Linked DNA regions of Mytilus edulis. The protein of the gene in region 1 interacts with the protein of each later gene in a pairwise test. Links are inferred from orthologs where the notes say so. Each region holds a gene or a part of one and is shown on either strand. Other genes may lie near its edges.

Evidence for each region.
Region 2: the proteins of nuclear transcription factor Y subunit gamma-like (region 1) and LIM domain transcription factor LMO4.1-like interact in binary tests that used the Homo sapiens proteins (3 or more experiments, as listed by UniProt). The link is inferred for Mytilus edulis from reciprocal best matches to the Homo sapiens genes NFYC and LMO4.

The regions. Positions count from the first base shown.
Region 1 is NC_092344.1:62,048,004-62,064,496, forward strand, and holds the start of nuclear transcription factor Y subunit gamma-like, read left to right. Parts: upstream 1-8,714; 5' UTR 8,715-8,917; coding exon 8,918-8,932; intron 8,933-11,965; exon of another isoform or gene 11,966-12,100; intron 12,101-12,568; coding exon 12,569-12,697; intron 12,698-13,421; coding exon 13,422-13,493; intron 13,494-13,951; coding exon 13,952-14,065; intron 14,066-14,675; coding exon 14,676-14,771; intron 14,772-15,392; coding exon 15,393-15,567; intron 15,568-16,493. Other genes in the region: mediator of RNA polymerase II transcription subunit 8-B-like, read right to left, coding at 1,815-1,897, 2,582-2,743, 4,181-4,265, 5,387-5,527, 6,717-6,861, 7,467-7,585, 8,241-8,258. UniProt on the Homo sapiens protein: Component of the sequence-specific heterotrimeric transcription factor (NF-Y) which specifically recognizes a 5'-CCAAT-3' box motif found in the promoters of its target genes.
Region 2 is NC_092345.1:48,587,166-48,604,213, forward strand, and holds the start of LIM domain transcription factor LMO4.1-like, read left to right. Parts: upstream 1-7,799; 5' UTR 7,800-8,176; coding exon 8,177-8,186; intron 8,187-8,556; exon of another isoform or gene 8,557-8,576; intron 8,577-9,464; coding exon 9,465-9,732; intron 9,733-17,048. UniProt on the Homo sapiens protein: Transcription cofactor. Plays a role in establishing motor neuron identity, in concert with MNX1, acting, at least in part, to disrupt LDB1-LHX3 complexes thereby negatively modulating interneuron genes in motor neurons.

The DNA.
Region 1 (16,493 bases):
CAAAACATTGGGGAAAAAACTTGCTACATATGGAAGTAACCTCTTCATAGATATATGGCTACACAACTCAAGTTAAAAAAAGAGTCAAATAAAGTACGAAACCATAAACATAGCTAATGTAAACTTGAGAATGGAAATGGGGAATAAGTAAATAAAGGCAACAGTAGTATACCTCTGTTCGAAAGTCATATTTCGATTGATAGACAAACAAAGCCTGGTTACAAACAAAAACCGAGGGAATCTAAATCTGGATTTGCCTTCATCTAATGTGACCTACAGAATTATACTATTTATTGGGTTTGTAATAAATTAAGCAACGCGACGGGTGCCACATGTGGAGCAGGATATGCTTGCCCTTCCGGAGCACCTCCAATCACTCCAAGTGTTTGGTGGAATTCGTTTTTCTAAGTCTTTAGTTTTTTATGTTGTGTCTTGTGTACTATGTCTTTTTGTCTTTTTTTCAACCATGGAGTTGTTAGTTTATTTTTATATATAAGTTTGACTGTCCTTCTAGCATCTTTCGCCTTCTTTTATACTTTTGAAATGTAGGGAAACACATTTAATTTTTTTTAAATACTAGCATCAAAATCGCTTAAAAAACACCAATTCAAAAGGAACAATCAAAAACTTATGTCGAAGACACAGAACGGCATCAAAGAAGACGATGATAAAAGAAAAAGCTCACAAAACACTCCAAAAACTATAGACTGAGCAACACAAACTCAACAAGAATGTGTCCATAGTACACGGATGCCCCACTCCCACTGTTATTTTCTATGTTCAGTGGACCGTGAAATTGGGGTCAAAACTTTAATTTGGAATTAAAATTAGAAAGATCATTTCATATTGAACATGTGTATTAAGTTTCAAGTTGATTGGACTTCAGCTTCATCAAAAACTACCTCGACCAAAAACTTTAACCGGACGGACTAACGGAGGCACAGACGGACGGACGGAGGCACAGACTAGAAAACATAATGCCCCTCTACTATCTTAGGTGGGGCATAAAAAGCAACAACTACAATAAGAAGTTTTCTGACGATTTCGACCATGCAAACTTATTTGTAGATATTGTCTTGCTGATCTCCAAATACTTTAAAATCAGTAAAATATGAACAATGTTGAGTTTAGGGTGGTGTGAATCAGATGTGAAAAGAAAAAGACAGATCATGTTTGTAAATCACTCATTTTGATTCCAGCTCAAACTGAGATCTTCAGATGCTGGATTCTGTTTTATTTCAGTTTTTAAGCCAAAATAAAGTTTCCACTGTCATAAACAAAACATTGTTACAATCAATCCTTTAGAACAAGACATCATTAATTCACTGATATCAACATTTTTGAGTCAAGACAGCTTTATGAAACCAGACATAAATTAACTGGCAAGGATAATATCAAGTAGAGCAACTGCAATCCCAGCTACTGATAAATAAAATATACATTTAAATTTTGGTTGAAACATAATTTTGCCCACATTACTTTCTATCATACAATAAAAGGGAATTAACTGTGAAATAAATTAGTTTTTCAACAAACGTAAATGTTTAATTTTTATAGTATAAAGTAGACAAATATGAAATCATAATCAATAATTCTTTTCATAGCACTTTATCATTATTGCACTTGTGTACTTATAGAGAATAATCATTAGAGTCTTGGTATCACTTCTGTTTTCAACCTCCTCTCACATCTTTTTCAACACTTGCCTCTTTAAAAATAGTACAACTGATGAGAAACATCACTCATGCATATTAAAATTGGTATTCAGTCTACCAATATAGTCTTATCCAAAACGTTGGTATTAAGTTAATTAATCAAGGTCTTTGATATGGATGTGTACTGGCTGCAGATTTGATGTTTGTTTTTATGGTACTTGGTGCTTTTCCAATGTTTTGTGCTGAAAAAAAGAAAAATATTCTAATTTTTCACACTATTATTTACAAATAAAAAATTATAAATAATCAAAAGAGAAATATATATGTCTTCTGTAAGGCTATTGGAACAATGATTTTCAACTTTTTTTATTCAAATTTCGCTCATGAGTCTTTTCTCTGCAAAACATGAGTCTGGCATACATATTTTTAAGCCAGTTATCTATGATGAGTTTAATTCCATAACACAGTGCTCTTATGAATATATTTGACTGTGAAATTGTCACCTGACTTTGCTTTGATTGCATGTAGTTTGATATATAAATTGATTTCTGTTCATATAATGTTGACCTAGCTGGTTGTTTTTGGTCCTGATGATTTTAACACACAGAAATTTTGGGAAAATGGGACTAAGGGAGTAGTCACTACAGTTATCATGATATTGAAACCTACATGATGGTCTTAAAAAAATTCATGATTTTGTTTTTCAAACTAAAATTATGTGTTTATGAGACACAGATGCCCTAGCTTGTAAATGTACAACAAATTCAACAATATTCCTTTTACAAGGGGACATAACTCAAGAACAGTAAGAGACACTACCATATTCAATCTTGACCATGGATCTGCATCTAGTGAGTTTTATTCATATTCAAAAAGTGTTTTTAAGGTTGACATATCAAATCATTAAGTGATGTATATAATCTTACCCTGTTGTTTCTGTTGTTGCTGCTGCTGTTGTTGTTGTGCTGTCATACCAGGTCGAGAATCTTGTCGTTGTATTGATTTCAGTCCCTTACCAAACATCATGGCTGCCACCATTGAACTGGTATCTGTTGATGAATAGGTCTGTGCCATCTGGGCTTTCTGATCTAAATAAAATCATTTTTTTCCATTTATAAAGGGGAATAACTCTAGAACAATAAAAGTGATGCCACTAAAATTCAAACATGATCTGAGTTTTGTGGTAATGAGCAATGTGTATAAGTTACATGTCATTTGTTTCAGGCTAACTAAAGATAGAGAACGTATAGACATGATAGATGTACAGATGAACAAGGGTAAAATGTAGTTCCGGAAGGGGCACATAAATCTTACAATGTTTATTAAGTTTATGTTAACAAATTTTATTGCAAGTGTTCAAATAATCTAATTGATGAATACACATCAGTTTTGAAATTATTGGTTCAAGTAAATCTAAAATTCAGTTTGTGTCTCAAAATTCGCCGATACAATTCAAAATGAACCTACCAGTTAAAAGAATAAAAAGGTAAGTTTTTAAATTCAATCTTCCAATTGAAAAAATTAAGTAGCCAAGAATAACAAAATCAAGATTTTAAGTTTCCACTGAGCTACGCAAATTATTCAAGACATGACTTTTTACTTAATGCTAAGGATAAAATATGAATATAGGTCTGCTACAATAGGTTTATTAAAACTCAATGTTCAAATCCTACTTGAAATGATTGTGTCTGAGAGACACTGTAATGATTTATTTCACAATGTAGGATAATGTTTTGTTGTTGGTCCTTTCACACTTAATAACACAAGTTTAAAAAAGACAACAGGAGACAAAATATTAAGTGAATGCAAATAATACAAAGGTGAATTTTTTAAATCTATAATACTAAAATTACGAGGTCCAATTTGTCAGCCGTCATCGGGTAAAAACGACAAATCAAAGAATTCAACTCTATATATAGCTAATATAGGACAATGGTGTAGATTAAAAATTACACCACTCCAGACCCTTTTGTTTTCCACATAATTAATATTGCCAATAATCAACAAGTTCCGGGTCAAATCCGATACCGATACTAATAGTTTATTCACCTGTTACCTATAAACTTATCTGTACGTTCCGCATTTGACAGGCGCACCACCAAACGGTGTATTTAGGATTTTGATATATACACGGGTCATAATCAAAGGGCTGACACTACTAAATTCAATCATTGTCAAATTGTTCCCTATTGTAGTTTTATTCAGCAATCAGCAATACTTTCTAAGATAACTAATATAGGACAATGTTGTTGATTAAAAAATACTCCATTCCTGGATAGCCAGGACCTTCTGTTTTCCAAATAATTAATATTACCAATAATTGATAAGTTCCGGGTCGACGGGTTCAAACAAAGATTTGAAAGCAGAGAAAACTGTGTATCTTATAATCGACATAACTTTATCAGATGACAATATCAATTACTAAAACAAGGCGTAAATATATATACTTTAATTCAGTCACGGACCCGCGATATCACGGGTGTGTACTTGTGTTCTTGATTTCTAATGCAAGGAAAATAACTTACTTGCTTCACTTTCTAGTTCTTCTTTGTTAGAGTTTATTATATCCAATAAATTACTTGTGATCTTGTTCATTGAATTGAGTTGTTTCTAAAAAAAAATAGAATATATATATATGTACAATTTTGTATTGTAAATCTGTACAACTATGTAGTTAGACCATTACCTGCCTATCAATGCAATGTGCTGATTTGATGGGTGACCTGACATGCAAAACTTGACCCCAAAAATTGTATTCAAAAATTGAAAGAGTGAAGAATTATATATACATGATATATGTAGCATTTATACTTCAAGAAGGTTAATCAAAAATTTGCAAAATAGGTGTTGCCTTTGGATAAATGTGTGTAAAAAGTAGCAAAAATATGTATTTTTCAATTTAAATTATTATTTCCTGAAAATCTGCACTCAGAATTTGTTTTAAAATTATATATTATTTTTGTACAGAATTTGGGATATGGAAATATTGAGGGCTCATGAGAAATATTATGAAATTGTGGTGAGGATTTATATAAAAAAATAGATATGGCTTACTCTTCATGTAACTGCTTCCATCTTGTAAGAAGAATAAATTCCCTTTCAAATATTTATGTGATATTAAAGAATTATTGATATCTCATATATCTTATTGCCATACTTAGTTTAAACCTCAGAATTTTATTTTAAAGCTGTTTTTAAAGATTTTTTTTGCATCGACAGCACATCTGATTTTTTTAATTGCGTTGATCTTCAATTCTTATGAAGCTTACAGACTGTTCCATGATGATAAATGTTTGAGGGTAGAATGATTGTTTGTTGGTTATGTGTAGTTGTCTCCAAATTAAATTTTTCAAAAAAACAGGATGTTACATGTGTAGTAGTGGGCAATTTTAAAACTCATTCTTATTCTCACACATTAATTCTAACAGAATAAATATTAATGTGTCACCTTATGTTTTTTTTTGTAATCATTAATACATATTGTAAGGGTTATGTCATCAAAACATATGTGGGAGGTTAGGAAAGACTTTCAATATATATTACTACAACCAAAAACCATTTTTAGATAACTTTGCAAAATGGTAATAGAGGCATACTAAAAACAGACCCATGACCAACATTCAATAATTTAACTTCCCTTCCTACTTATACCCTCCCACATCAATTTTGATGCAATATATATTCCTAATACAGATTGTGTACTTTTCTAAGAAAAGACTAAATGTTCTTACTTGTGCCATGTCTGCTTGCATTGCAGCTGATTTCTGAACAACAATATTAACTTTGTCCTCGACCTCTGGTTCTGGTTTGGTACGGAGGTAGTCTGGTACAACTTCATGGTTAAAACAAATTACTCTTCCTTCTGTTAGTTTCTACAGAGCAAATACAATGAATAAAAATTTATGCATGACTAGTTATATTTAGAGGTGCATATAATATTTAGATACATATACATGTACTTAAACAAATAAATGTCTGCAATCATTTTTAATACTTTTTTCTCCTTATCTTAAGGATGTTGGCTCCTCTTGTTTTTTAAGTTTTGTAAGATATTCGAAAATTTTGTATTAAAATCCTTATTATCTTTCCATACTTTTTGAAAGAAAAAAGTTGCCTATGTTAAACATGTTAAATGAATGAAAATTCTTGAGAGAATCATTTCCCTCCAAATTTTCAACAGCATATCTTAGAAACAAGGACATGGACCCTTCATTTTTTTCTGCTATATTACATCTATTATTTATAACAGTCTTTTATAAAGCTTGTTATTTAGAAGCAGAGAAGCAAACCTCTTAAATATTTTTATCGCCTATTTTCATGATTTTTCATTGAAACAAATGAGATAAGCAAAAATCTGTCACAGATGACATAAACACACAGGTGCAAGCTGGTTTTTACTTCTTCTCTGAATTTGAAGATTTGCGAGTATTTTGATTTTTATAAACACCTTATATAATTATAAACATTAAAGTTACCATAATTGAAAAGTTTAACTTAAGTGAAAAGTCCCTTCCTGAAGTTTATTCATGTTTATTGAATATACAATAAGTCATACTTAAATCATAGATCAAATTTATTCTTTCATTGTATGTTCACACATGTTAATATGTCGTGTTCAGCCATTTCAAATTTCAATTGATATCTTATATTGTGTCTTTCTGTGTTGTGATGTTACACTATTGTTTCAGATAAGGGTGAAGGTTTGGTACCATGTAAACAATTAAACCCACTGAAATTGTTTGCACCTCATGAATCTGATGTTAAGTAGTTGTCGTTTGTTGATTTGGTTCATAACATAAGTGTTTCTCGTTTCATGTTTTTTATATAGATTAGACCGTTGGTTTTCCCATTTAAAAGGTTTCACACTAGAAATTTTTGGAGGCCTTGATAGCTTGTTGTTCAGTGCAAGCCAAGGCTCCGTGTTGAACACCTTAATTTTACCTATAATGGTTTACTTTTATAAATTGTGACTTGGATAGAGAGTTGTCTCATTGGCACACATACCACATCTTCTTATATCTATTAGATCATAAAATAATGTATGATTTATCTTTTCAGTACCTCAAGTTCAGCATCTCTATCAGGTCTCAGTGCCAGCGGTAACAAGAGATGATTTCGAAGATGTGGTGATCTGTCATTTTTCAGGACTTTACCAAGACTATTTAGCTGACCAGATATCAGAGCAAAATTATCCAGCACAGATGGCCTGAAAACAAGAAGGGATATTTTAAGACATTAACTACATGAACATGCTCTCTGATTAAAAGAAAGAACATATCGAATTTTTAATCATTATCATGATAAAAGGTTTAAGCAGATAGTAGCTTTTAAGGTAAGAATTTATACTTCAATAAAAAAAAAATGACATATAGCTATCATGGCTATAGTCAAGTACAATTCATTATTTACAAGTAACTTCTATAATAATTTTAGCTCATTTACAATGTCTAATATATCAAAGTTTGTTATTTTTTGTACATGTTTTTTTAATTTTATTCTGCCACATCATGTTTACATTTGCCAGATGGTAAACATGGTAATTGTACAAAACAGTTTTGAAATTTTAATAAAATATTTGTCAAAGAAAATGCATCTTATTTTGAGATTCCCTGGTCTTGTGATCTTTTTGTGCTTGATTCTTATTGTCTGTTCTTTCATCTGTTCATTGAACTATCCAGCTCCTTTGCAATTTCTGAGTTGTGTTAAGAATTGTATTATGCATAACTCAGTGTTTATATCAGTATGATCATGTGTCCACACTTTGTCTGTTGTCTAAAGGAGCATATTAACCATTAAAACATAATGTCCTACCAATTCAATGTTTGATATTCATTTTCAAGCTTAAAGAGAAACGATGCAATGGAATTTTTGATATCCTGAACTCTGTGGATCAAGGCATCTACAGTGGCTTCTAATTGCTTTTCTTCTTTCTGGAAAAAATCAAATGAAATATGTACATTGTAGTTGTAGTCATGGTAGTAAATTTGTAAAGCTAGTAAAACCGGTCTTTTCAGAATAAACATATTCAGCCATTTTCTGGTCTTAGCCTAACACTAATTTTAATTTCACAAAATGTATGTACTCTTATGATAATTTAACCCTTTCATGTATCCTTTTTACATCCTTGTGGGCATGCTGAATGTATCCATTTGGCACATCAGTGTAGATGCCGAATTCGAAAGCATCCTTTTAAGGATACAATGTACATAAATTTTCTATTTTTAGACTATCACAATCAAGAGGGTGACATAGAATTATTAAACTGTCAAAATTATTTTCAATAAGTGTAAAAGTTTAACAGCCAAGGTGAAAAAAATGAAGACCACAACAAACAAGGCAGACAAGATTGACAAAGTCAACTTTCTAGTTAATTTACCAATGAAAGCATTATAAAATTATAATATATAAATATAATATGATGGAAACTGAAAGAAGACCATGAGAAAGATACTAATAGTATTTTTGCTGTCAAACACATGCACTTTGTATACATGATAAAATGAACAGCATAAACATAATAAACGTGAAGTTTTCTTTTAAAACTTTTTTTTTAACTCCAAAAATCCTTCAGGGATAACTATGCACCTCTTCCAACAGGTGCATGCCTTCTTTATAACTGTTTCCTCAAAACACACTCTATAAAATTAGTTTTTAACCTGCATTTTTGTTTTTCTTTATAATAGTTTCTTGATTTTTAAACCGGAAATACAATACCGAATTCACGCATGCGCAATCGGAAGAATTTACCAAATCGCATATCAGCCATTATTTTGAAGGATCTGAAAAGACAGAATTTTATTATATAAAATTTATATCAAGAATATTCAAGGCTGAAAGGTAACTGTTTTGAAACCCATACACTTCCAGGTTCTACATGAAGCTACTTTGAACCAATCCGCGCACCTTGTTTCATTGAATAATTCTTTGTTCTCATTGGTGGGTAGGTCAGTGTTGATTGGGTGTCGATTCCCGACCAATTTATTGGTCCACTCTTCGACCCAATCTCCAATGATAATTTACAAACATTTCCCTGTATCAAAGAAGTAGCAATTTATAAATGAAATAAAATGTTTCTCCAAATAAACTCTCTGTGATCGACAGTCATGTGTTGACAAATATCCCCTCACGGACAGAACAAAAATGGCTTCCTTGAATTGCTTTCTATTTTTAGAATGTTACTACAAAAACAAATTCTGAAAATGAATTTCCCATAATTTTATCAACCTTTGGTGTTGTCTCAGTTAATATTGGAACTATGCAGAATGAGACTGATCAAAGTAAGACATTGATATACATGTATTTATATTTAATATTATTCTCATTTTTGTACAAGAACTACCCCCTTTCCCTCTTTTTCATGCATATATTTGTGAAATATAGAAAAAAAATGCTTTGATATGAATAAATGTCACTCAATTTAGGCTAGACACTTCAGCGGTGGATCCAGAATTTTTCATAAGGGGTTGGGGCCACTGACTGCCTCAGATGGCCGCTCAAGTCATGCCTCATACAGTGTTTCCCTGTAGAATCAACCAATTTACCACAAAAAGGGGGGAGTCCACCCCTCCCACCACCACCACCAAATCTGCATCTAGACTTGGGTATTAAAATGTATTTTATACAAGATTGTTTAAAATGCAAAAATAATTCTTCATTCATTTTATGTTTGGAAATTTAAAAAAAGATATAATTTACCATTTTACCCTTTATACCTTTACATGTAGCTTTATCCTGTAGTCCTTAAATAGGCTAATGGTGTCTACTGACTCCTCATCTTGGAATGTCTTTCTCATCTCATAATAATTGCATAATAATATATTTATATATATTATATTTATTTTAAAAAAAAACTTATTTAGGGAATATGAAAAAGAAATTTGAGTTGTCTCCCTGTTTTTCCTCTAAAATTAAAATTAACACTTTAAATTTAAATCTTTGCATTTAAGTTTTAAATGGTAACAAATATTTTATAAAATCATAATTTACAATTTTCATGTCATATTGCTTTCATGTTTGACATAGGCATACCTCAAAATTTGAAGTAAGTAACATCAATAAAATTTTATAAATACCTTTGAATAAAAGTATAAAAAAAAGTGATAAAGTGTGTGTTGAAAATGTTTGCCTCAACATATATTTGAAACTACTTCTTTTTGGGCAAATAGACTACTATCCAGTAGTTCTTGAATAAAAGTGAATATGCAGTGTGTGAAAAATTACAGATGATGGTCTCAAACTGGTAGACTGACAAGACTGTTTATTTACTCTTGAGTATGTAAATTTTTGACCTGTAACCAAATCTGTGGTAGGACCTTCTGGTACTGGATCAAGTAAGAGCTAAGAGAAAAATCATGTTGACAATCACATGAATCTGTGCAAATTGTGAATTCTAATATGATGTTTAATTGTAATTGCAATAAAACTGTGATTGACATCATAATTGAAATTGCAATGTCAGTTGTACTTTGAACCATGCTCTAGATCTAAATGAACATTTGTGTTGCTTTTGCTTGCTAGGAAATTAAATAAAATCATTTTAAAAGTAATTTTATCCATATATGATATCATATGCCCGTTAATGGGATGTATTATTAAAAACCGTTAATTGTCCGTCCATCAATTGTCATGTTGGACATTAACTTAAAAATGTTTAAACCAATTTGCATGAAACTTTGTCAGGTGAATTGTTTATACATGTATCTGTTTGATTTATTTATAAATTTTAGATTTTACATTTCTGAGTTTTATTCATTATAAAAGGGGGGATTTTTTCAACAATAACTCAAAAACACTTTCACTAATTTGCACGAAACTTTGGCAATGTTTATTTACAATGACATTTATAAATATATATAAGCTCCTTTTCAATTTTTATAAATTTTTTATTTTACATTTCTGAGTTATGGGATTTAATTCACAAAAAGGGGGGATTTTCAAGTTTTCGAACACTATACCTACAATATGTAAAGTGCTTTGGGCAGTTTTCTATAAACTTTAGTGACTGATTTACATGTATATCTATTAAGATAACCTTCCTTTAGTTATTATACATTTCTGATACATGTATGGTATTGAGAAGTTATTGAACTTTATTCTTTGAAAATGCCACTGGTGTATCATGCCTCATGGGGCGCAGCTGTTTATTTTTTTATTGTTAAATATAAACATGTTGAATTGTTGGTTTTCTATAATGTTTTGGTAAATCACATCAAAATGGCTACCTTTCGAATATACATGTATAAATAATAGGTCCAAATTGAAGTACAAAAGTTATAAATTTGCCTATCAGAACATGCTCTATATGCTGATTTTAACTTGAGTAGGTATTATTTTTATGCCCCACCTACGATAGAAGGGGCATTAGGTTTTCTGGTCTGTGCCTCCGTCGGTCGTCCTTCCGTCTGTGCGTCCGTTCGCTTCAGGTTAAAGTTTTGGTCAAGGTAGTTTTTGAAGAAGTTGAAGTCCAATCAACTTGAAACTTAGCACACATGTTCCCTATGATATGATCTTTCTAATTTTAATGCTAAATTATAGTTTTAACCCCAATTTCGTGGTCCACTGTCAGAACATAGAAAATGATAGTGCGAAGTTCAGGTTAAAGTTTTTGGTCAAGGTAGTTTTTGATGAAGTTAAAGTTACATCAACTTGAAACTTAGTACACATGTTCCCTATGATATGATTTTTCTAATTTTAATTCCAAATTAAAGGTTTAACCCCAATTTTCACGGTCCACTGAACATAGAAAATGATAGTGCGAGTGGGGCATCCGTGTACTATGGACACATTCTTTTTGTCTATAATTTAATCTAATTAACACTCAGTATAAAGATATTGACAAAAATAATACCTACATATATACATGTACACACATGTTAAAATAAGCATTGAGCATGGCATGAACAAATTGTATCTTAAAAGATTAGCTAATTTATGTTAATATAGATACAACAAAATAATAGAAAGGCATTCAAATTTCTCCAAAAATGTCCCAAACTGTAAGCTCATTTTACTTCTTTTAGTGCTCTTACTGGAGTTTGTGGCTGTCGTATATTAACGTAATGCCAGAATATCCTACATGTACCACAGAGCAGAGGTTTTTCCCCATTATCCTCTATAGCTAGTCCCCATTCTAAGTCATACCCTCATATCTCCTATTTTTACCAATTTTGAACAATTGCTATTCCATTTAAGGTACTGCTCTTTGTTAAATTCGATTTCTGGAAAAGTATTTTGTGTTAATCAGGACTTTTCCATTATAGATTAGTTTCCTGAACTTGAAACAGGATATATGTTCTTGTAATGTTAAACACTTCCTATTAACGCAGTTGTTTATCACGTTCATACATCAAATTAGTACAACATTTATACATGTATATAGAAATACTGTCAAAAGGTACATTTGACCCAGGGATTATCTACATGCAATAAGGAAAAAGATTTTTCTGGTACAGTGTGCCTGGAACATAAATTAATTTTACTCATGCTTGTACATGCTGTATATGGAAAGTTAAAATCAATATGTAGTTTATTTTGAAAACTATTATAAACAACTGCTTCACCATGTTTAATGCATATATACAATGCATCAAGTAAAAATCAATGATTTTGATGATATTCTTTATATTTAATTTTTTCTACAGGCTGACACGGCAACTGGTCTACATTTTTGGGGGTTACTCTATTTTTAATTGCATGACCTTTGATCTTATATTTAATCGGATTTTTTCCCTTGACATTGAACCATTTATCATTGCACTTTTAGATTTGTTAATTATTAGTATAACATGTTTTTAGAACACAAACAAGGAAATGTCAAATAAAATCTATAGTGATATGATATTATTATATAATAGTAATTAGAGGGAAATTTAAAATAGAACGATTATTTCACATTTGAAAAATTATTTCTTCAGAGAGTTTCCAAGATGGAGTACCCAACATCAGGACAGTCACCTAATGCTGCATCAATAAGTGGTGAAGCTGCAGCCATGCTGAACACATTCTGGCCTGATGCAATGAAAGATATCAGAGACCTAAAAAATGTAGGTAGATTTGTATTTAACAAACAAACTTATTAATTAGTTTTAATGTTAACAATTAAGCGACATTTTGCATTTGCGCTGATCTGCATTTCATTTGCGCTGATTTTTTTCTTTCATTTGCGCCGATTTTTTCTTTCATTTGCGCCGATTTTTCTTTTCAATTGCGCCGATTTTTTCCAGGTAAATTACAGGTGAATGCTTTTTTTCATGTATCATCATAAACATCTTCCATTAGCAATTTTACATATGTTATGAATTGTCAGTCAATTCGAATAGCCATTTACCAATGTCACTCAATAAAAAAGAAGATGTGGTATGATTGCCAATGGGACAACTCTCCACAAGAGACCAAAATCCTATCCCCCCTCATATTTGACAGGAAGTACAAATTATAGTAACATGATTCAGATGAAGCACATGTATTAAAAGGTTTTAATAACACTTTGCAAAATTTTGCTATTCAAGTAAGTGTAAATAAATCTGAAGTATTCATCAATTCTATAAATTTTAAAACATTTGGGTTATTACATATATTTAAAGGTAAAAAATTTAGCTCTTACATTGTTGAAAAAGGTACATTTGAATAAGTAATGAAACTCATCACCAAGTTCATTAGCATTACAAAGATTACAATGTCTTTCAGTTCTTTAAAACATAAAGTATTGCAATATTTTGCAGAGTTGTCTTCCATTGTACAGTAAAAATGTTTGATTTATTTTTGTAGGATGATTTCAAACAACAGATACTTCCTCTGGCAAGGATAAAAAAGATCATGAAACTAGATGAAGATGTAAAGGTAGGTTTTATTTTGAACATTTATGTCAGGGGCAGCTCAACCTGAGACACCCAGTAAAAATTGTAATGCATAGTTACAATTACAGAGGAACAAATATACATGATATAAGACACATTAAAAATAGCATTTTTTTTTAACAATTTCAAAAATTGATACCAATGAAAAAATATATATATTAAAATTAATATCATGCTCATGTGAGATTTAGACTGTTATGCTGGTGTGACTTCAAGTTAAGAGCATCAGTATTTTGTATGGTCTTAGTTTTAATTGATCTACCGGTAAGTGCATGTGTTATTTTATAGGCGTCTGACATTAGAGGTTTATTAGTTAGGATCACTTAACATTGCTCAAACTTTATCTAAGTAATTGTTAGGTACTTATAAATTGTGATAACCTTGTGTGAAATATTTTGCTCATTCAAGTCTTATGTAAAAATAAAATTGCAATCTCCATAGATGATCAGTGCAGAAGCTCCAGTATTATTTGCCAAAGCTGCAGAAATATTTATCAGTGAGTTATCACTTAGAGCCTGGATACACACTGAGGACAACAAAAGGAGAACATTGCAGGTATGATCTTAAAAAAGGTTACTGATTAAAGGTATAAGTGGACCAGACATCAATCCAACAGTAAATTTCATAATGAAAAAAAGGTCTAGGGTTTAAATCAATGATACTGCAGTCTTACAACACGTACATGTAAGAAACAGTTAACAGTAAAAAGTTAATACATCATATTATCAATCATGGAAGTTTTTTTGGTTTCAATTAATGTAAATCTGTTCATGTACAATTGAAAAGAAGAATTATTTACACTGTTGATTTTATGAAACTTAAAATGAGAAAAAAATTGTGTACTTATAGGTGTTTTTTTTTTATTCCTTCTGTTTTGATAGAAGTGGATCATTCTTTTCTCCTCAAAGTCAAAGAGACATACAAGAACCTGCCTGCAATGAAAGTTATTGCTGTAGTCTTTAAAAAGGTACCAGTAAGCTAGTACAGAAGTACTTCTGTCTGACATTCTGGACAGTCCTTGAAAAACAATGTCTAAAGGTCAAGAAACTCAGTCTTTAGAGATTTTATTAACACCTTATTATTATTTAGTAGAGTTATTCAAAGATTTATCTTAATATTGACTATGTCAGACTATTTATATAAATTATTTGTTTGTTTTTCTTAGAGAAATGATATTGCAATGGCTATTTCAAAGTTTGACCAGTTTGATTTCCTAATAGATATAGTACCTAGAGATGAACTTAAACCTACCAAACGAACTGTAAGTGGTTTGATATAGTGATTCAAAGATCTTTAACTGATTAAGCAGAAAAGTTAGTTTTTATAGATAAAAGATAAAAATATAGAAACCTGTTTTATTAAATAAGGAGTTATCCAAAAAAATGGTTTTATTAATACTGTTAAGTTTTTGCCATGATTTAATTATTGCAAAATTTGCGGTTTGATGGGATTCCCCCAAAACAATGTATTTTGTTTTTTATAGATCATTTGTTTGCAGATTTTCTGTAATTCTTGAACATTTAAATTGATAATATATATGTAAGCTTAGCTGTTTTTGAGATGTGAAAATGTTTTAATTTGGAAAATAATGTGTATTGAAATCAATGAAATGATATTAATAGACAGTAACGAGGGCCCTCATGGGGTTTTTGATTATGTGATTACTTGGCCGTTTTTTTAATGATTATTTGATTATTAAGCCAAATATTTCATGATTATTTGATTACCTAGGACTGTATTTTTAGTTTATGATAATTTGATTACTAAAGATAAGCAAATATTTAATGATTATGTGATTATATTGGCAAAAAAATGGTGATTATGTGATTACTAGGACCCCCCCATGAGGGGCCTCAGTAACCCAGCATGATTTTATTTCTAGGAAGACACATCAAGAACTAACAACATGTTGCCAGAACAAATACAGTATTATCTACAGCTAGCTCAACAACAGGCACAACAAGCACAACAACAGCAACAACAGCAACAACAAACAACACAACCCACACAGCAAGTCACCACACAGGTGTCACAGCCAACACAAATACAACTGCCAGGTACTTATAAAACTGAAAACTCTAACAAATGTAGTAACTTTCTTTCCTTTTATGAGCCTCTTAAATTAGGAACTCCATTATTGGGTAAAAGAAACATTATAACAGGTTAATAAACTAAAACAGAAAGAAGTTTTAAAAGTAGATGTTCTACGAAAGTAACTATGTAGTTTTGTTACAAGTGTAAGAAATAAAAATTCAAAGAAAATTTGAAGTAAACCACAATTGTGCACATTAAGTACAAGAAGAGGATTAAGGTGGTACCCAATACTTAAACTAAAATTAATTTGGGTTGTTTAATTTTCTTAAAATTTTGTCAAAGTATTTACTTTGACCCTTTTACAAAAATATAAAAAATTCAAAAAATTTGAACCAACCATTTTATCAGAAAAATTACACTGGTTATATAGCAGTTTGTCAAACACTTATTTTGATCATTGAGAAGCTTAATATTCTCTTAACAACACAACGTAATTAAAACGTTTAGCTGATTTTACAGAGTTATCTCCCTGTAGTGTTAGGTACCACCTTAAGGTTAAAGATACACACAGAAAATCCCAAACATATGACTTACTAAAACCAAAACCAAGGTTAATGTGAAATGTTTGTTACAAGGTTTAACCAACAATGATTATAAGATATATTTTCATCTTCAAGCACAGGCAAATATGGGACAAAACAAATAAAACAAATCTTAACAAATGTGCATGACTACATTTCAAAACTTCATAGAGTACATAGGAAAAAAATATCATTATAAATGTTGTTAAGTATCTCACAGGATGCATAAATTGTACATTTTTATATACATAGAAAGTTAATGTTGTTTGATTTAGATATTTCTTCATATACACCATTGATACCACCTTCTATAACTAGTTGATGCACATTTTATTAAAAAGGTAAAGGGAAGTTTGAAATTATAAAAA
Region 2 (17,048 bases), on another chromosome or scaffold:
TTTATTGAAAAATGTTATTGCAATGTCAAAATAAGCGTGCAGTTATTGTTGATAAATATTTAAAAGGTTTGGATATTCCATGGATAAACAGAGAGATAGGTTTTTGTGGGAGCTGTTTCAGATATTCAATCAAATATATGTTGTTAATTTGCGTAGTTTATAACACAAAATTTATAAATAGCTATGCAATTCATTACATATAATTAACAATCACATGTTAAGTGTATGTAGCACACGCCATTCGGACGTCTAGCTTGGTTACCAGATATTGTTTTAATAGTTTTTCTGGCAAGGCGGTATCCACATTTGTATACAGTACCTTAATATAATGATCTCATTAAAGACTTTAATCGTTTTTCATTCAGTAATTTTTTGCTTCATAAAAAAATACAGAGTAACAGACAGTTGACAGGGAATACTAATTGGTAAAAAATTCAAACTTTTAACGGCACAGAAAAAATATGTATTATTTCTTCAGTTTTGAAAATGTTACTTACATGTTGATTTTTTACAATAAATTGGCTAATTTGACAGCTTAAAACCAGATACCTTGTGGAATGTTACTAATGATGTAAAATTTTATAAACTATACCAATTAAATGAGATTTAAGGTAAACAAAATGATTTCTTCAGCGCAGGGACTAATTACTTCGTGTCAATCCTCTTTCCTCTATCTAATTGCCAATTAGACCCAAAGGGCTCAGTGTTAACGATTTCGTGGAGCTCATTATCCCAACAAGAAAGCATCATGCACTAGCTCGGTGTTAATTATTTTATCTCTGGTGGTGTTTTAGTAGTTTTAAATCCAATTTGTATTTGAGCAACTTTTAAATGATTTGGGTGACGAAAAATAAGGCATCATTAAAAACTTGACATGGTTCATCTGTTTTAGTACTAATGATGTTGGTCATCAGGGTTGTTTCAGTTTCTAGAACAGTTTGTTATTATTTAACATAATACCTACCATATATGATTATATAAACATGCATATACAGATGTGTTCATATGTTGTGTCATTGGGTTGCTGTCTCAAGTATGTGTATCCCAAATCTCTTTTTATAAATGCAAAGTTCATATGGTGCCTTTGAGATGTATTTTTTTCTGAATACACCGATCAAACCCGATGTTCTATTTTGAAACAGCACCTGAAGCTATATATAGGTAAAGGATTTTTCCAAATACAGATTGTAACACACCAAAAGGACACACACACAACGTTATATGACAAAATATCACATTTTTAATGATAAAACTCTAATTATTAAAATAAGTGTTTTCTTTAACAGCGGAGCATTTTCCGTATCGGAGTCAAAGAATTTTGAAAATTATCTTTTATGAAAAGATATATATTTAAAGTTATAAAAGATTTTTCCCGATCAGCAGTGACGTCTTGGAGATTTATAAATACTTCCGATACTCTCTTCGATTAAGAAACACTCAAACCATCTGCCCATCCGTCTTTTGTGGCATTTGAGGTATGAAAATGCATAGCCAAGTCCGCACTCACTGAGGCCATTTGACCCAACGCACGAATTGAAATTGTATCCAACATGTTCATGAAAATGAAAATGTGGTATGAATGCCAATGAGACAACTCTCCACAAGCGACCAGAGACACTGGAAGTGGCTCTTGAAGTTTTTTCAATTTTTGATAAACAACGTTAGTTTAAACATATTTATTTATAGTGTGGATTGAAATTCAAGTTATTACAACTTATATGTATCCCTTTCCACTTTGCGGGTGCGAGTGCTGCCTTGTAGCGGCATTAGCCTGTTCTTTAAAGAAATCTACAAGGGTGTATTTTACGTGCAAGAGATACGGTTCTCTCTTAACAATGGTCAGCTATTTATCGTCAACTTTCGACGGAATATCATCGTTTCTCAAGACCATACTCGCAAATGGTGTCAAAGGAGAGGCGAAAAAAAAAACATATATGACGAAGGTCGTTTGACGTCAAGAAATCTCCCAATATACCTGTTTTTTTTTCTTTATTTCAATTGGTTTATTAAAATTAAACGCAAGTTTAAAAGCAGCAGCATAAATTTATTCAAGCATTCTATTGGAGAATACAGTATTTGAAAAGACCTTCTGGGGAGTTTTTGTCATAATTTCACTTTTTTAACAAGTGGTATATGTATTCTTATGTTGTTTTGTTTTTGTTCGTGTATACATGTTTTGGGATGGGTTTTATTTTTTGTGGATATTTTAAAAGCCAAAATTTATAATAAATCAACCGTTTAAGGTGGTTCAAGGCTCTCAACTAAAACCGACAGAAATATCATACTTTGTCTAATGAAACAAAACGTCGTTTGGGGTATGTTCCGGCGCAGTATACTGTGAAGCATCGCCACTGGATATAGGTACGCCGAAGCAAAGAAACAATGATAGCAAACAGGATTTATTCTATCCTCGTACAGTAAAGAGCTATTCGCCGCACAATTTAACCGCTTTATTTATTTACATGAATTTCTCTGAAAACAATACTTATTTTAGTACTAGTAGTTTATTTCGAAATACAGTGTTGTTCAACCTTGAATATATACAACTTTTTTCTATGAAAACGTCAAATGAATAGTTGAAGGATAAATGTCCAAAACTGACGATATTAAGAGAAAAAGAGCAAAATAATTATCATCATCAAGAAAAGCGCGACGGTTCTGTAACCTTTTGTTAGGAGAGGTGAAAGATACCCGAGGGGTGGGGGCAAAATAAACTGACATCGCCATGGCCCAAAAAAAAGACAAATAATAAAACACAAAACACAACGACTGAGCAACACGAATCCCAACAAAACCTGGGGATGATTGCTTCTATTTGCCTGTTAACGAGTGTGTTTATACTGCCAACATCTGCAATGATATTTAATAAAGCGAAAATGTATATTTTTATACCCAAGGTAGTTTACTTGTATTTGTATGTAAAAATAGTTTATATAGTCTCTTAATTAAAGAGTTGCTCATGTTGTCAAATTTGGGTTTTTTTTAATAGTTGGAAATCATACTTCATATCCTTACTTTTGTAAAAAGATATACAGTGTATGTCAAAATGTGAAAGGGATTTTGTTTAAAAGACCTAATATCCAAATAATTTCAATAAAAAAATCCCCTCAAGCCGGTTCTAAGGGCCGTCTTAGACTTGAAGTGAGGTGAAAGTTTTTTTGTTTTTTTTTATTTTGGTGTTGAAGGCCTCACTGTGTGGTTTTGAGATGAAGAACAGCAATAAAAGTGCTATTTCTTTACTTTTTGTGTGTATTTTTTCGTGATGGGCATGAACTGATTTTGTGTCATGCATGGATACTCCATCATCTTTGTTTTTCTATTCTAATAAACGGAATCAGAAATTTACCATAAAGGGGTATTGACGTAGTTATCTTTGTTAATCTATTTAGAAATAAGTTATTTAAAATTACGAAGAACAACCCTGACACATGTTTGCTCGATGACGTAAGTATCCCAAAAACTAGTGTGCGAAATACCGTGTCTTAATTATATACTAAATATAATCAAAGTACTGAAGTACTGAACATCGGATGGCTGCAAGTTCTTGTGGATGGTCAGAAGCACTTGTCTCAGAAAGTAAATCACATATACCTAAAAGTGAGGTTACTAATAGTGTACAGAGATATATATTTTTCTTAGTCAAGTTCGTTCGTGGATGATGAATAAATGACAGGGAAGTCAACCTCGCCGTAATAACTATGATTGTAGTGATACAAATCAGAATACTCTGGTTTGTTGATATATATTATATTAATATTTGTATATAACAGTTACATGCATATATATTTTTCATCTACTTGTTTATCGTTCTGTTCTCCTATTCTAATAATAGTGCAGTGCAAGTGCATGGTTGACTCTCTTCTGTAATTATTAGGTTTTTCAAATATATGTCTAATGACAAAATATTTTCATATTATAAATTTATGTTCTTAAAACAATATTTCTATTAGCATTCATTGAAGAAATGAATTTATAACAAGTGATAAGTAATACTATTTTGCACTCGATAACGTCCGTGTATGTATAGATTGGTTACCAGTCAAAAAAAAAGTCACGTAAGAAGAAATCTCTGTGGCAACAATACATCGGTCATCGCGATGTAAAAATAAGAAGATTTGGTATGATTACCACTGAGACAACTCTTAACCAGGGACCAAATATCATAGCAAGTAACAACTTTATGGTTGTTTTGTCAAGACATGCGTCCCTTCAAATGTTTGATAAATTCGCGATATTGGCATTCTGTATTAATTAAATAGATGAAATAATGAAAATATTACATATTTATCAAAATCAAAGTGTTATAAACAGTTTTAGTAAACAGAAAGACGCGACTGGACAAAATCGTCGTCATCAAGACAAGAACAAAAGAGAAGCAAATGTCAGATTAATTTGTATTTATTTTGTTATTTGTTAATGTCAAACGCCAGTAGAAACCTGTTAATGCAGGAATAGCCAGAATAATTTAAACCAGAAGAAACAGAGTAGAAACAAACATTTAGTTTATCGTTCAGTCCGAGAAACCGCATTCATGCAAAAATCTGGAAAGTTTTTGTTATAAATTCGCATATTGGATATGAATGGTATGTTTTTTTCTTTAATCATAATTTATCAAACAACAATTGAATGTTATATATGAACATTTTGTCTTAAGTGAGAACCGTTATTGATATGAAAGTTATTCATGAAACGCACGGCAACTGGTATCATGCATTTGTGTTTGAAAAAGTCTGAAATTTGTCTGAAATTTCGTAAAGATTGAATGACATGCATTAGATAATCTGGCTTCCAGTGGCAAACACTGCTTTCAGGTCGACAGTAATTATACAGAATGATCAACAAATAAATTTGATTGTACTTATTAGGGGATATTTACTGGGGAAGGTGTTAAAAAGCAAACAATTAAAACACAGCCTTATAAAATACCACTGAAGGGTTTCTGTTAAATTCTGACTTTGTGAAATTGCGCATTTATACATTTGACATTGAGTCCTGCTGTCTGATATTATAGAAACTCAAAGATAAATCATCTGTATAATCCTAGGAATACTTTTGATTCTGAGTAAAAGATAGCTTAGGATTCAGTTGAAATTATGCCCTAGACATTTGCACGAGTCCTGCAGCTGTTCGATGTTATAGAGTCTCAGAAAATCAGCTGTAAACACAGGAATACTTTGGATTCTGAGAAAAAGATAGGATTCAGTTGCAAATCCGATTTTCAAAAAGAAATTCTCTTAGAGACGGAGATGCAAACTCATTTGCTTTCCTTAAAGATGGAGACAGCAGTCAAAACTCATAACAAATGTGCTAAAAAAACACTAGGATTTAGCACCATATTGCTCTAAGGCAACGTGCACACGTCATTGGTTTTCCACATGCTTATTTGAAATACTTGTAACAGACAAAAGCCGACAGCTCCAGTGTTGTATACTTTTAACACAATATCTAGTTTTAAACTCAAACGCGAATCGAAAGTACATCTCAAGCAAGGGTCCTAATTAATAATCACGCCCGAAAATGAAATTTGTTTTAAGGTATATTCACTGCAATCTAATTAAAAACCGATCTCTCGGTTTTTAATTAGATTGAATTCACTGTATACTGCCATCTTGGATTGTACAATAGCAGTACAAAAACGGTCTAGTTCGGGTTTGGGCGATAACTCTGATGCCTAAGTATAAGGTAAATGCTAAGCTCATTGCACTGTAAAGAACTCTTGCAACAATTCTGCTGGTTTCGCAGATGGTCTGGTGCAAGGGAAATTTCTTACCCAATCCAACACACCCTTATTTTCCAGTGGCTATCAAAATATACCGCCTTTTATCCCGATCGACCTACATTGATTATAACATACCTATTGATTTAATTTTTTATTATAAATAGTTGAATTTGAATGAAATATTTGACACTGGACATTTAACAAGCAACAATTAATAAATACATTAACAGAGCTTATTAAAATTTTTAGACAGATTGGAAAATTAGCCGTTAGACTGCTTATTTGTATATATAGAAAAATGGTGATTCATTTACATTATCCAAAATTTCAACAGAAAACCAAACAGTTATATTTTGCGACGTGTGTTGCTTATCAATTTGATTCGGTTATTACCAAGTATCAACACAAGTTGTTTCCGTTTTCCTTCTGTGCACTGGACAAAATTGGCTGTATATGTTGAGAGTAATATATAGGCGTTTGAACAAAAAGAACTTGATTAAATGTATCTTTAAAAATTTCGAAAAATTTTAATTGACCGCCTTTACGTATTACATTTAGTTACATTGCTCTTTCTGCTGGCACTACTTTGTCAATGAAAAATTTATAAGGGGCGCAACTCTTGCAACTGGATCTCTAATTACAGGACCGTGAAATCACGGAATTGACAATTATGCTTTTACTAATTTTTCGTATAGACGAAAAAATATAATGTTTGAAAGTATAAAAACCAAAATGGTAAACTTTGCCTTGATTAGTTGCTCCTTAGTTTTCTTAAAATACAATGATTTATTAACTTAAAATGCAAAGACAAATTTAAATCATGCAAGTACCGAACCACTGGGTTTGTTGGACTTCCGATGATCGAAAGAACACATCCGCAGCAATATCAACATATTGATATGACGGCACGTACATGTATCATCCCTATTGTATGCGCAAGTTTTGAACACCTGTCCAGCTATGTTGGCTGTTCTCAGCGTAACGAACGGTGCTGCAGTACTGAATCTGTCGTCAGCTTTATACATGCATATTCAGAACGAGTAAAAAATAATTCGGTAAGATATACAAATCGTGATTTAGTTTTAAATACTATAGTTTGGCATGGACAGAAATGTTGCTTTGTACAAACTGTCTGTAGGCGTACAAGGAGTCCAACACTGTCTTATAGAATTAACACAATTTTCGCTGCATTTGTTAATCGGGTATTAGCAGATGTTTGAAAGAAAATTATCGTTAAACGGATTATCTGCAATTCAAAATGTCCTATATTTTAGTATATAATTGATATAAAAAAAAACTAACGGTAAAACGATTATAATTTGTAAAGAAAAAAATGATATCTAGGATCCTCAAAAGTTACTTGCAATCCATAAATACGTAATCATTTTATGTTTTGAATTGTTATAATTGATCAATATATTAAGTAATAACATTTATACAATTCATTTTGTTGTCGAGATTGAAAAATAAAACAGATATATATTTTTCAAACATCTGTCGTCAACTTCGATATTTTACAAGAATCTTTGTTTGTTTTTTGGGTTTTTTTTTTGTTTTACAGAACAATTTCTTAAAAATCTTAATATATAGATTCAAAAAAAGACCACAAATGAAATTGTCTGCTATAATTTAATATTGAAAGATACATTTTGGTTTAACATTTGTCGGGTTAGAAGAACATTTTAAGGTATGTGGGTATTTCAATTAAACAGTCAAAGAAAAAAATCCATTTGAGAAGTTTAATTATCTAAAGTTTGACACTAATGCGTTTTAATAATCGTTTTATTACTGTTCCTATTATAATAGCCGATAATTTTAATTATTTCCTCTAGTTTTATTTTGATTAAAATAATTGAATACGATCTTCCTATAAGCCGACCAGTATAACACAAAACTAATTAATAAAAAATGGGTTTCAAGAGAGTCGAGATAAACATCGCGTTTTTAATCAAGTCATAATTACCTATTTTAAAGCAACAATCATTATTAACATTAATAATATTGACAAAATTAAATCTGTCAATATTAAACTGGGCGGAGCCGACGTTATCATTTCTCCATTCATGCTATTGAAACATGCGTTCCGATTGGTTAGCTACAAATGAGAAACGATCCAGTCGTAAATACGGAGTAATTCATAACACACAACCATAAAATAATCTGCTATAGGAATTATGAAGTTGTTTGTTGAGGAACGTTAAACAATACAAATTATTGTGTATGTTTGATTCTTGTATACGCTGGTTTGTTGATTTCAAGCTGTTGATGTAATCCGACCGACTATACATCCATTTAAGTGACGCATATTGGACTATGACAACGAACATTTGATAGTGTACGACTGCACACAATTTAAAAATACATTTTCAAGGATTTTTTTATTAACTGAAACATTTCTTTGTTGTTGTTTGTAATTGAAGCAGACGATATCTAAAACAGACGGAATATACCTTCATCATGACAAATGGTTAGTATAAAGCTGAACACGTGTTTTTATCACATTACTTCCGTTTAGTTTTGTTTATCTTTTCACACTGAACGATAAATCATCCTTAAAATAGTTTATCATATCAAGACTAAATGTCTTAAGAAACACAATCTATGTGTGCACTTTTCACTGAACAAGTCTCGTATGAAACGTCATTTTAAATGTATAAAATTGAAACCTTGATTAATTTCGAATATCCTATTCCATGTAAGGCATAACGGTCTACACAGACGACATACAATCACAAACCGTTTTTCGAAAATGTAGTAACATTTCGGGTCTTGTATCTATTTATAGTATCTTTTCAGTTTTTGCAATGAGCAGGGACTTCAGGATTAATCATGTAAACAAGTCTCATTCTGTAATCAGGTATAATCCTGTAAATTATTCATAATTTAATCTTTTATTTTTGTATGTGTGTATTGATCAATCCCAAGTTAAACAAGAGTATATTTACTTCATTAGTTGTATTATTAGTTTCACTCGAGAACATTGGTGTATAAAAATTGGGTAGTAGATTTAACATTTCAAATAGCAAGGTAAGCAGTAGTAAATCATTCAATATCTCGACATAGGTGTGACTGGAGCACTCTGAATATACTGGAAATGTGGTATACAACCTTGATTCCATAAACAGACGACAGGGTCACCAATGGTGCGGGGACTGCTAACCAACACATCAGATCAAATCAGGTGTTTGGTGGGGTTTGTGTTGCTCATTGTCAGTTTTCTTCGTAGTGTAACTGTTTGCCTCTGACGACGATTCTGTCTTTGTTTGACCTGGTTAATTGCCCCCCTTTGTACCATCTCTTGATAAAAATAAAATGTGGTATGATTGCCAATGAGATAACTCTTCACAAGAGACCAAACAATACAGAAATTTACAACTACAGATCACCGTACAAGTCTTCACGATAAACCTTTAAATCCACAAGCCCGATGCTCAATTTTACGAAAATTTGGACACGTGATTAGTACGAGAACTGCCTCGCACAGCCTTCAACAATGAGCAAAGCCCATACTCCATAATCAGCTATAAAAGGCAGTCCCATTATTGCTTCATTCTCTGGAAGGAGATATAAAAGGCGTTGTTTTTTCATTCTAAACAAGGCAAAGGAAAAGAAGGCTTCTTCATTAAAAGCACAAATCTGAAGTTAGTAGTATGATGCTTCAATTTGTGCTCGACGAACATGACTGAAGCAATTGTAATTGAACATTATACAAGCAACACTCACTCAATTTTTTTTTTCTGTACAGGTACAGAAGACAGTTCTTCAATGATGAATAATGGTGTGATGCAGGACATAGGTAACCTGGCCAACAGCGTGACAGGTGAATCCCCATCATATGGCAAGGCATGTGCAGGTTGTGGTGGCAGAATCTTGGACCGATTCCTGCTACACGCGATGGAAAGATATTGGCACACAGGTTGTTTAAAGTGCTCTTGTTGTCAGACAAATTTAGAACAATTAGGATCGTGTTTTACCAGATCTGGGATGATACTGTGTAAAAATGATTACTTACGGTAGGTACAAATTGAACCCATGTGTATTTACAAAAAGATTATCGTGTAAATGTTAAATAGTTTAATACAGGGTTCGTGGGAAAATGTTTACGTCGTGAAGTTTTTCTCTCACGCATTTGGGTATTTGATAATTTTCTTAGTAGTATAATTAAGAAGATACTTAGTATTATATAGTATACTAAAAAAACCATAGACAGTGGTTTACCAGTGGTGTGGCCAGTCCTCTGTAATCTCTATCAAAATACGCCCCTATAATTGTATTAAAAAGCCAGAATAGAGATATTTGATATTTTTCAGAACTATACTTTTTGAATTATGTATAACAGGGATTCAGTTCCATATCTTTCTTCTTTCCCAATTGATGGTGTTATGCATAACAGATTTTTTTTTCAGGCATACTAAACCTTTGTTAGTATTTTTTTGTGCTTGTATATCTACAATTTTTACTGTATGATCATTTAAGATCGTGGTATATGGATATCTCGCGAACTTCTCTGTCCTCGTTAGGTGGTTAGCTTAACGAATCTTACTAAATTGATCGTTTGGAATATGAGCTATTCTTAATCATTTGTCTGTCCAGTCTAATTATAAACCTCGAGAGAATAAATTAGCTTTCTAATTCATTAGTAAATCAGTTATTTACTGTGGGCACCTAGGATAAATGCATGTTTAGCAAGCACAATTGGTCAATTAAGACTCATTATTGGGTTCAATTACAACACAAGTAATACCAATCCGAAACTTTATTATTACCAAGCTTAACTTAATGAAAAGTAAATTGGTTCCTTTCATAAAGGTAATAATAGCATTTTATACGTTGAGAAATGAAGAATAAATATTAAACGAGCTTATACAAATTTGTTAAAATCTGATATATGTGTCAAAAGAAAAAAGGCGATAATATTAAATCATCTGGAAAAAGAGATTTGTGTAGATTTAAGTTGTTAATATTGATTTTTAGGTAATGTTTGTATTCAAGAAAGTAAATTTGGGAACAAAAAAAGAAAAGCACAGGTGTTCTTAATGAAAAAATGAAAACGTTGATGGACAAAAAAGATATGTGTGAATAAGTCATCTGGTTGATATCAAGTTGTATACAAAACAAAATATTTTATTGAATTTGAGAAAAAACATAACCTAAAAGAACTTGAGCAGTGTAGGAAAGAATTCAACTTTTTGTACGTGCATTCCATAAACTCAGTGTAAACCTGGGACCAATAGACACATGTATTAGTCCCAGTACAAACTGAATAATTAGACAAATGGTTTGTTTACTTCTGTTGTTACTAACTAGCTTTACATGCAATACACAGTAATTAACAAACGTCTGCGGCCTCTGATAAACGACACATTTGAACCAGACTAGAAAGCCTTTCAATTAACTACTGTTCCGTTTGGATAAGTAGAATAAGGTACATTTTAATGAAGTTAAATTGATTTTAGATGCCCCTATCAAAATAAAAATTACAAACGATTTTTTTCTTCTCGACAGATGTCGTATTCGCAGAGTCTAAGTGTATGATAATGGACTCTCTAAAAGTCGGTTTAGTTACGTGATAATACATTTGAACAGACTACTTAATTATCATGTTAGAGTTAAAGTAGTGAGAAACATAAATGGCCAGATAATTAGAAGAAAAACGTGTGTTCCATTTAGGATCGATTTTAATTAATTTTCGAGATTGGATTTGTTCGTCAACAACAAACTAAAAACCAATTTCCAATATCAACAAAGGTTAATTTCAGCAATCAAAATGAAGGAAAAATTAGTTTATTTGAAGTTTCTTGATCTCGCAATTTAAATTAATTACAATTTGCTTTTGCGTGGCGGTATTGCGTTTTTGAATGCAGTCTCGGATATTAAGACCTCTTTTCCAGTATTATCAAAATGTGCAGAGAATTAACTTGTTAAATCTATTATTTCCTTCTTTGGTATGTACTAAAACTCGAAATCCTCTTTTAATACGACGCATTTGAACTAGCGGATGTTTATATATTGAATCCTTTATCACTAAAGAAAATGCATTTTGATGTCCAAACATTGATATGATCAATTAACATTTAATCTCCTGTCTTTCATCCTGGTTTGTACACCTTGTAGGACTTACTCAGTGGTGGATCCAGAAATTTGTATACGGGGGTCATTAACTGCCTTAGAGGGGACCCCGTCATTCGATGATGTCCTAATATCATACAAATTTCTCCCACTAAAGGGGGACCCGTGTCCCCAGTTCCAACCCCCTTAATCTTCCTCTGTTACTTAGTATTAAGTTGAATTTTCATTAAAAATTTGCTCTTGTTGTCCATGTGTCGATCCGTCAATCAATTTAATAACTCTTTCTCTGGCTTGCTCTATCTTTGGGGTACCAATATCATGGTGTGTCATTGTTTGGTGAGTACATATATAATGCCTCGGTATATGTAATCCTAGACATCTTCGTTGTTTGGCATGGGTTGTTACCATATAGGCTAGCGAAGGTGACTCCTAGATTTAACTTCGATTTTTTAATTCTTGGTGTTTTAACACCACTTTTAAGCACTGCTTTTTGGCCATTCCGTAGCGGCCAGTTTTTATTGGAGGGGGGAGCCGGAGTGCCCGGAGGAAACCATCGACCAAACTGACAATCCTAGTCAATTAAGATTGGAGTCGAGTGCATCTGCACGAGCGGGGTTCAAACTCACAACCTCAGTGTTGACCGGCTAGTGATTACAGTAGAAACTTGTTAGACCAGTGGACCACCGATTCCCCATGAATCCTAGATATTATGCCCGGTAGTCTTTTAACTTGAATCGTGTTTACTTTCAAATATTCTGAGACTTATTTGACGTCAGATAGTGTTTTTGGGACTTGCTGTTGTCATAGTCAGAGATTGCTCTGATGTCTAACAGTCTTTTAAAAAAAGTTGTAGGGACCATGACCCACCTCCCCCAAAGGGAAGTCTGTCTAAAAAGTCTATCAAACGTTAAACAATCTCGACAAACTTTCAAGTAACTGTAATTCAAACCGAAAATGTTTCGTAGAATAATGCCTCCGTTCATATCGACGTGAAGTAAGACACTAAAACAGAAAGATATTTCCAGAGTACGTATGAGAAGTAATTTCCTTTACTGTTAATAAAGTATTTTAATATCTCGGGGACCAATAACTTTTTAATAAAACTCTGACAAATCGTGAACAAATAATTTCAAAAGAGGGAAATTAATTAATTTCGGTAGCATTTATTTCATTCGTCTCGCTGTTGGCGAAGGATATTAAATCTACCCTAGTAGTATATATCACTAGTTAAATCAGAGATAAATAATTGATTGTGAGAATTTTGATTAATTGATTGATAACGTCCCTTTATACCACTCTTCAATCTGAAGTAGATGAATGAAAAACGACAGATCACGCGATGTTATATTTATATTCAATAATGATATTACGTTTAAAATATGAATTATAATTGACAACAGACTGCAGATATTAAATTTAATCATCTTTAAATATCTCGAGGTCTCTCAAAGGGAATAACATTAGGTTCATTTCGAACACGTATATAGCTTCATTTCGAGTTCATAACCACCGACTAAAATGAAGTTCAACTATACGAACTAAACGACTATGTTCAGTTTGGAATGCATTTTTTTATTCCCATTACATAAAGCCTTCGTTGTGAAATCTAATTATTAACCGAATAAGTATACATATAAATGAAAGACGGTTCATGGTAAATTCTTACCATAAGCTCTAAAACATATGGCTTACTTTTCTGTTGTATATACGAAGCCACTAGTCTAATGGCTAGACTATTATTTTTCATTGGTCGTGGAAGTCACGAATTTGGATGGACTTAATATCACGAACGACTTGAGAAACGAACCAATTCTCAAAACGACAAATAGTGCGTCCCTTTCAAATTTAGATTCCATGCGATGTATTATTATCTCCCAACAGTTTTTCTAATAATTCTTCAGCTAAAATATTAAAACAGAAATCAATTTGATGTCTATGTGATAACATCCACACCAATCTATTGTTTTAGTGCACTCATGAATATTACAAATATTAATTACTTAAAACATTTGTTATACTTTAATATCGGCGTTACAGTATGTACGTTCTTGACAGTTTTATTGAGATTGCTGTAGGGGTCAATTTTCATAAAAAGCAATGTCAAGTTCCCAGAACGAGTTGTTGACAATGACGGCAATAAAATTATCACAAAAAAATCATAATCCACCATATATCTAACATTGAATGTCAAATAATATAACTAACGGTGGACAGATGTCGTGGTAAATATATTAAAGAGAAACAAATATAATTTAATTTGAAAGAGCATGTACATCGTGATAGTACTAAGCACAGTATTTTCTATACTGTAATGTGCCTATTTATTGTTTCGAAAGTTTTTATAATATATGTACATTGTCAACTCCAGTGTACTTTTAGTAAACGAGTACACCGTATTAATGATTTTTTAACGCATTTAGTACCGTTATAGTATCATGATCTTCCCTTGAATTGATATAAGATGTGGTATGAGTGCCAATAAGATAACTGTCCATCCAAGTCATAATTTGTAGAAGTAAACCAGTATAGGACAAAGTACGGTCTTCAACACGAAGTCTTAGCTCACACCGAACAGCTAGGGTTAAATTAAATGGTATATTTCAAAATGGTACCCTGTTTTGTATTCTCGTCATGTCGTAAATGAGACATAAGTGTTATATTGGTACCAAGTTCTGTTCTGTTCTGTCAGTTCGAGTACTCCTTACCTCCATTTGATCGCGTTAATCTGGTAATGAAGCTGTAAAGGAATTACAAGTCGACTTTTGTTACCTGACGTGTTTCATAGATAATTACGTGTCATAGAATTTTTACGTTGATGTACTACATAAATAATTACGTAAAACGACAATTAGCAAAGAAAACTACATTCTCCTTCTCTGATTTCTGTCTTGTTTTAGAAACCACTGATAAAAACAATGGAAACAATAGAACGAAATTAACAGATGTTCCCTCTCTATTTGCCATGCGCACAGTTGTCTTTCATCAGAAAAGTATTTTCTAATTAACAGGAGCACGACGCGTAAAATTGAACAATTTTTTTAAGATTAAAAATTCCAACATAGTAAATAGCGAGAATGTATTGTTTAGATGATAAAAACGTTTACCTCTGGTTCAAAGAGATTTTACTCTTCACATGATATTAGTTTATGTCTAATTCGACATTTAATTAGTAAATAATGATTGATTGCAAACTTTTGTACAATTTCAGTAATCAACTTACAGATTTCTATATTTCTGTACCAACAACACCATTTCTTCACATTGCTATATTTTCATGCAATAGGTTGTTACAACGCACATGCATTATTTCATATTTAAAGGTCATATTCAACCTATGATCCTCACCTGCGACATCGCGGTTCCATGAGTGAATCAAAGTATACCTACATACCTACGCCTTATTTTCAGGCTGGAGTTTTGAAGAATTTCTATTGTAATTTGATAAAAATCATGCTGATTGTGAGGTGCCCAGTTTTCTCTGCCTTTAAAATCTTTCTGTTTGAATTCATCTCGATTCTCGACTTTTTCTTACTACAATCGGCTCAGAGACAACCGGAAACTGCTTGTAGATATGTTTTTGGTTCAATAATTGAATAAAATTATTAATGTAAATCCCTGTGTATGAATGACGAAGCTCGGGTGTGATTATGAAGTTTTTGTTAATTTATTGAGTATCAGCCAACAAAGTAAGAAGACCCTATATGCCGAATGAAAAAAGAATCTGAGAAAGAGTTAACACCATGGTCATAAGAAGCAATATACTAGTAGTTAATTAATCACTTCAGGATCGGATCCAGCCATTTTATTAAGGGGAGTTTCAACCATATATCCTTATTCAAAAGCATTGATGATAAAAAGGGGTTCCCATCCCCGGAACAACCCCTAGGTTTGCAACTACACTTCCTGCCAAATTAAAGGACGTAAAGTCAAGTGCTCTGGATGGGTTATCTGTTCTTGCTCCACTAGTGACACCCTAACATGATACTTCCGTTCATGCAGCAGTCATGTACAATTTTATGTTGTTCCCATTGTTGTTCTCACACCCTGAGCTCACACCAAAACAGGGTCCCTATAGAACACACAAAACTTTACAAGAAATATTCAAATTGTTCTCGTGATACAGCTTGCATACACCCCCACAGTTAGTAGACTTGACCTGGGATTAAATTGTTGTCACCTCTTCAAGAAACTTCTCCTTATGTTCTCCTTATCAAAAACCGCAAATCGATCGACCATTTTCTTTATGAAGTAGAATAATAAACTTTTTGGGCTGAATACAGTTCCAGATTTTACCAGCTAGGGTACAGCAACTATACCCATCATGTTTATGTTGTACACTATTTTGATAACATGAAATACCATATTCTTTTGATGTTGTAAACATTTTATAACCCAATACTACTACAAGTCGTAAAATCAATCAGTATTCCAGTGATCAGTGGATCGATTGGCGGATGATATATTTTCCGTCTGTTAATAGACAGGTGTTAAACAATCCATCAAAAGCGCTCTGATCCATCAAGGGAGAATACTCATATCCATGTCAGATTCTTGATGTCTTTTTCTTTGAAAATCACATCAAAACAGCTGTTGTCTAGATCATAATGATGTTTATTATAGTCTGTATAATATATTTGTCATAAAACATATTTATGCTTCGGAAGTTATGTCTTGTTTATATTGCACGTTGATTTATCTTTGAATCGGAACAATACTGGAGGATAAAAGAATAAGCATTTGAAATATAAATATCAATTTTATTGATGTATTCGAAATAATTGTATATAATTTTCTTTCCTGTTTATTCGAGATAAGAAAACAATAGTTTATGTTCCATTCAGAGTAAGTTCAATGTCTTTTGATGTTCCCTTCTGACTGGACATTTCCGTCGATAAATTGGCTGCATGCATGACAGGGGAGGGAATCCGACAGATCCAAATTGAATCCTTACCTAGCATAGGATCCTGACACAATCTCTGATGAAACAGTTAGCTACTATCCCAGGTTTATCCTAAGTTGCGTACCCTTTGATCTTAGTATTCCATATCACGTAAACCAAAAAGATGAATTATTTAGAAATATAAAAGTATGAAACCGATAACCAACAACAATCAAATAAAAAGCTTTCAAATTGGATTTATGTGACGAGGATTTAATATCACCATATTTTAAAATGTCGAATGTTTCATTTCCTAATTGAAAATCATTTTAGTTCCATTATCTAATGAATTTTATTGTGGCTAAGTAATTTCTATCTTCC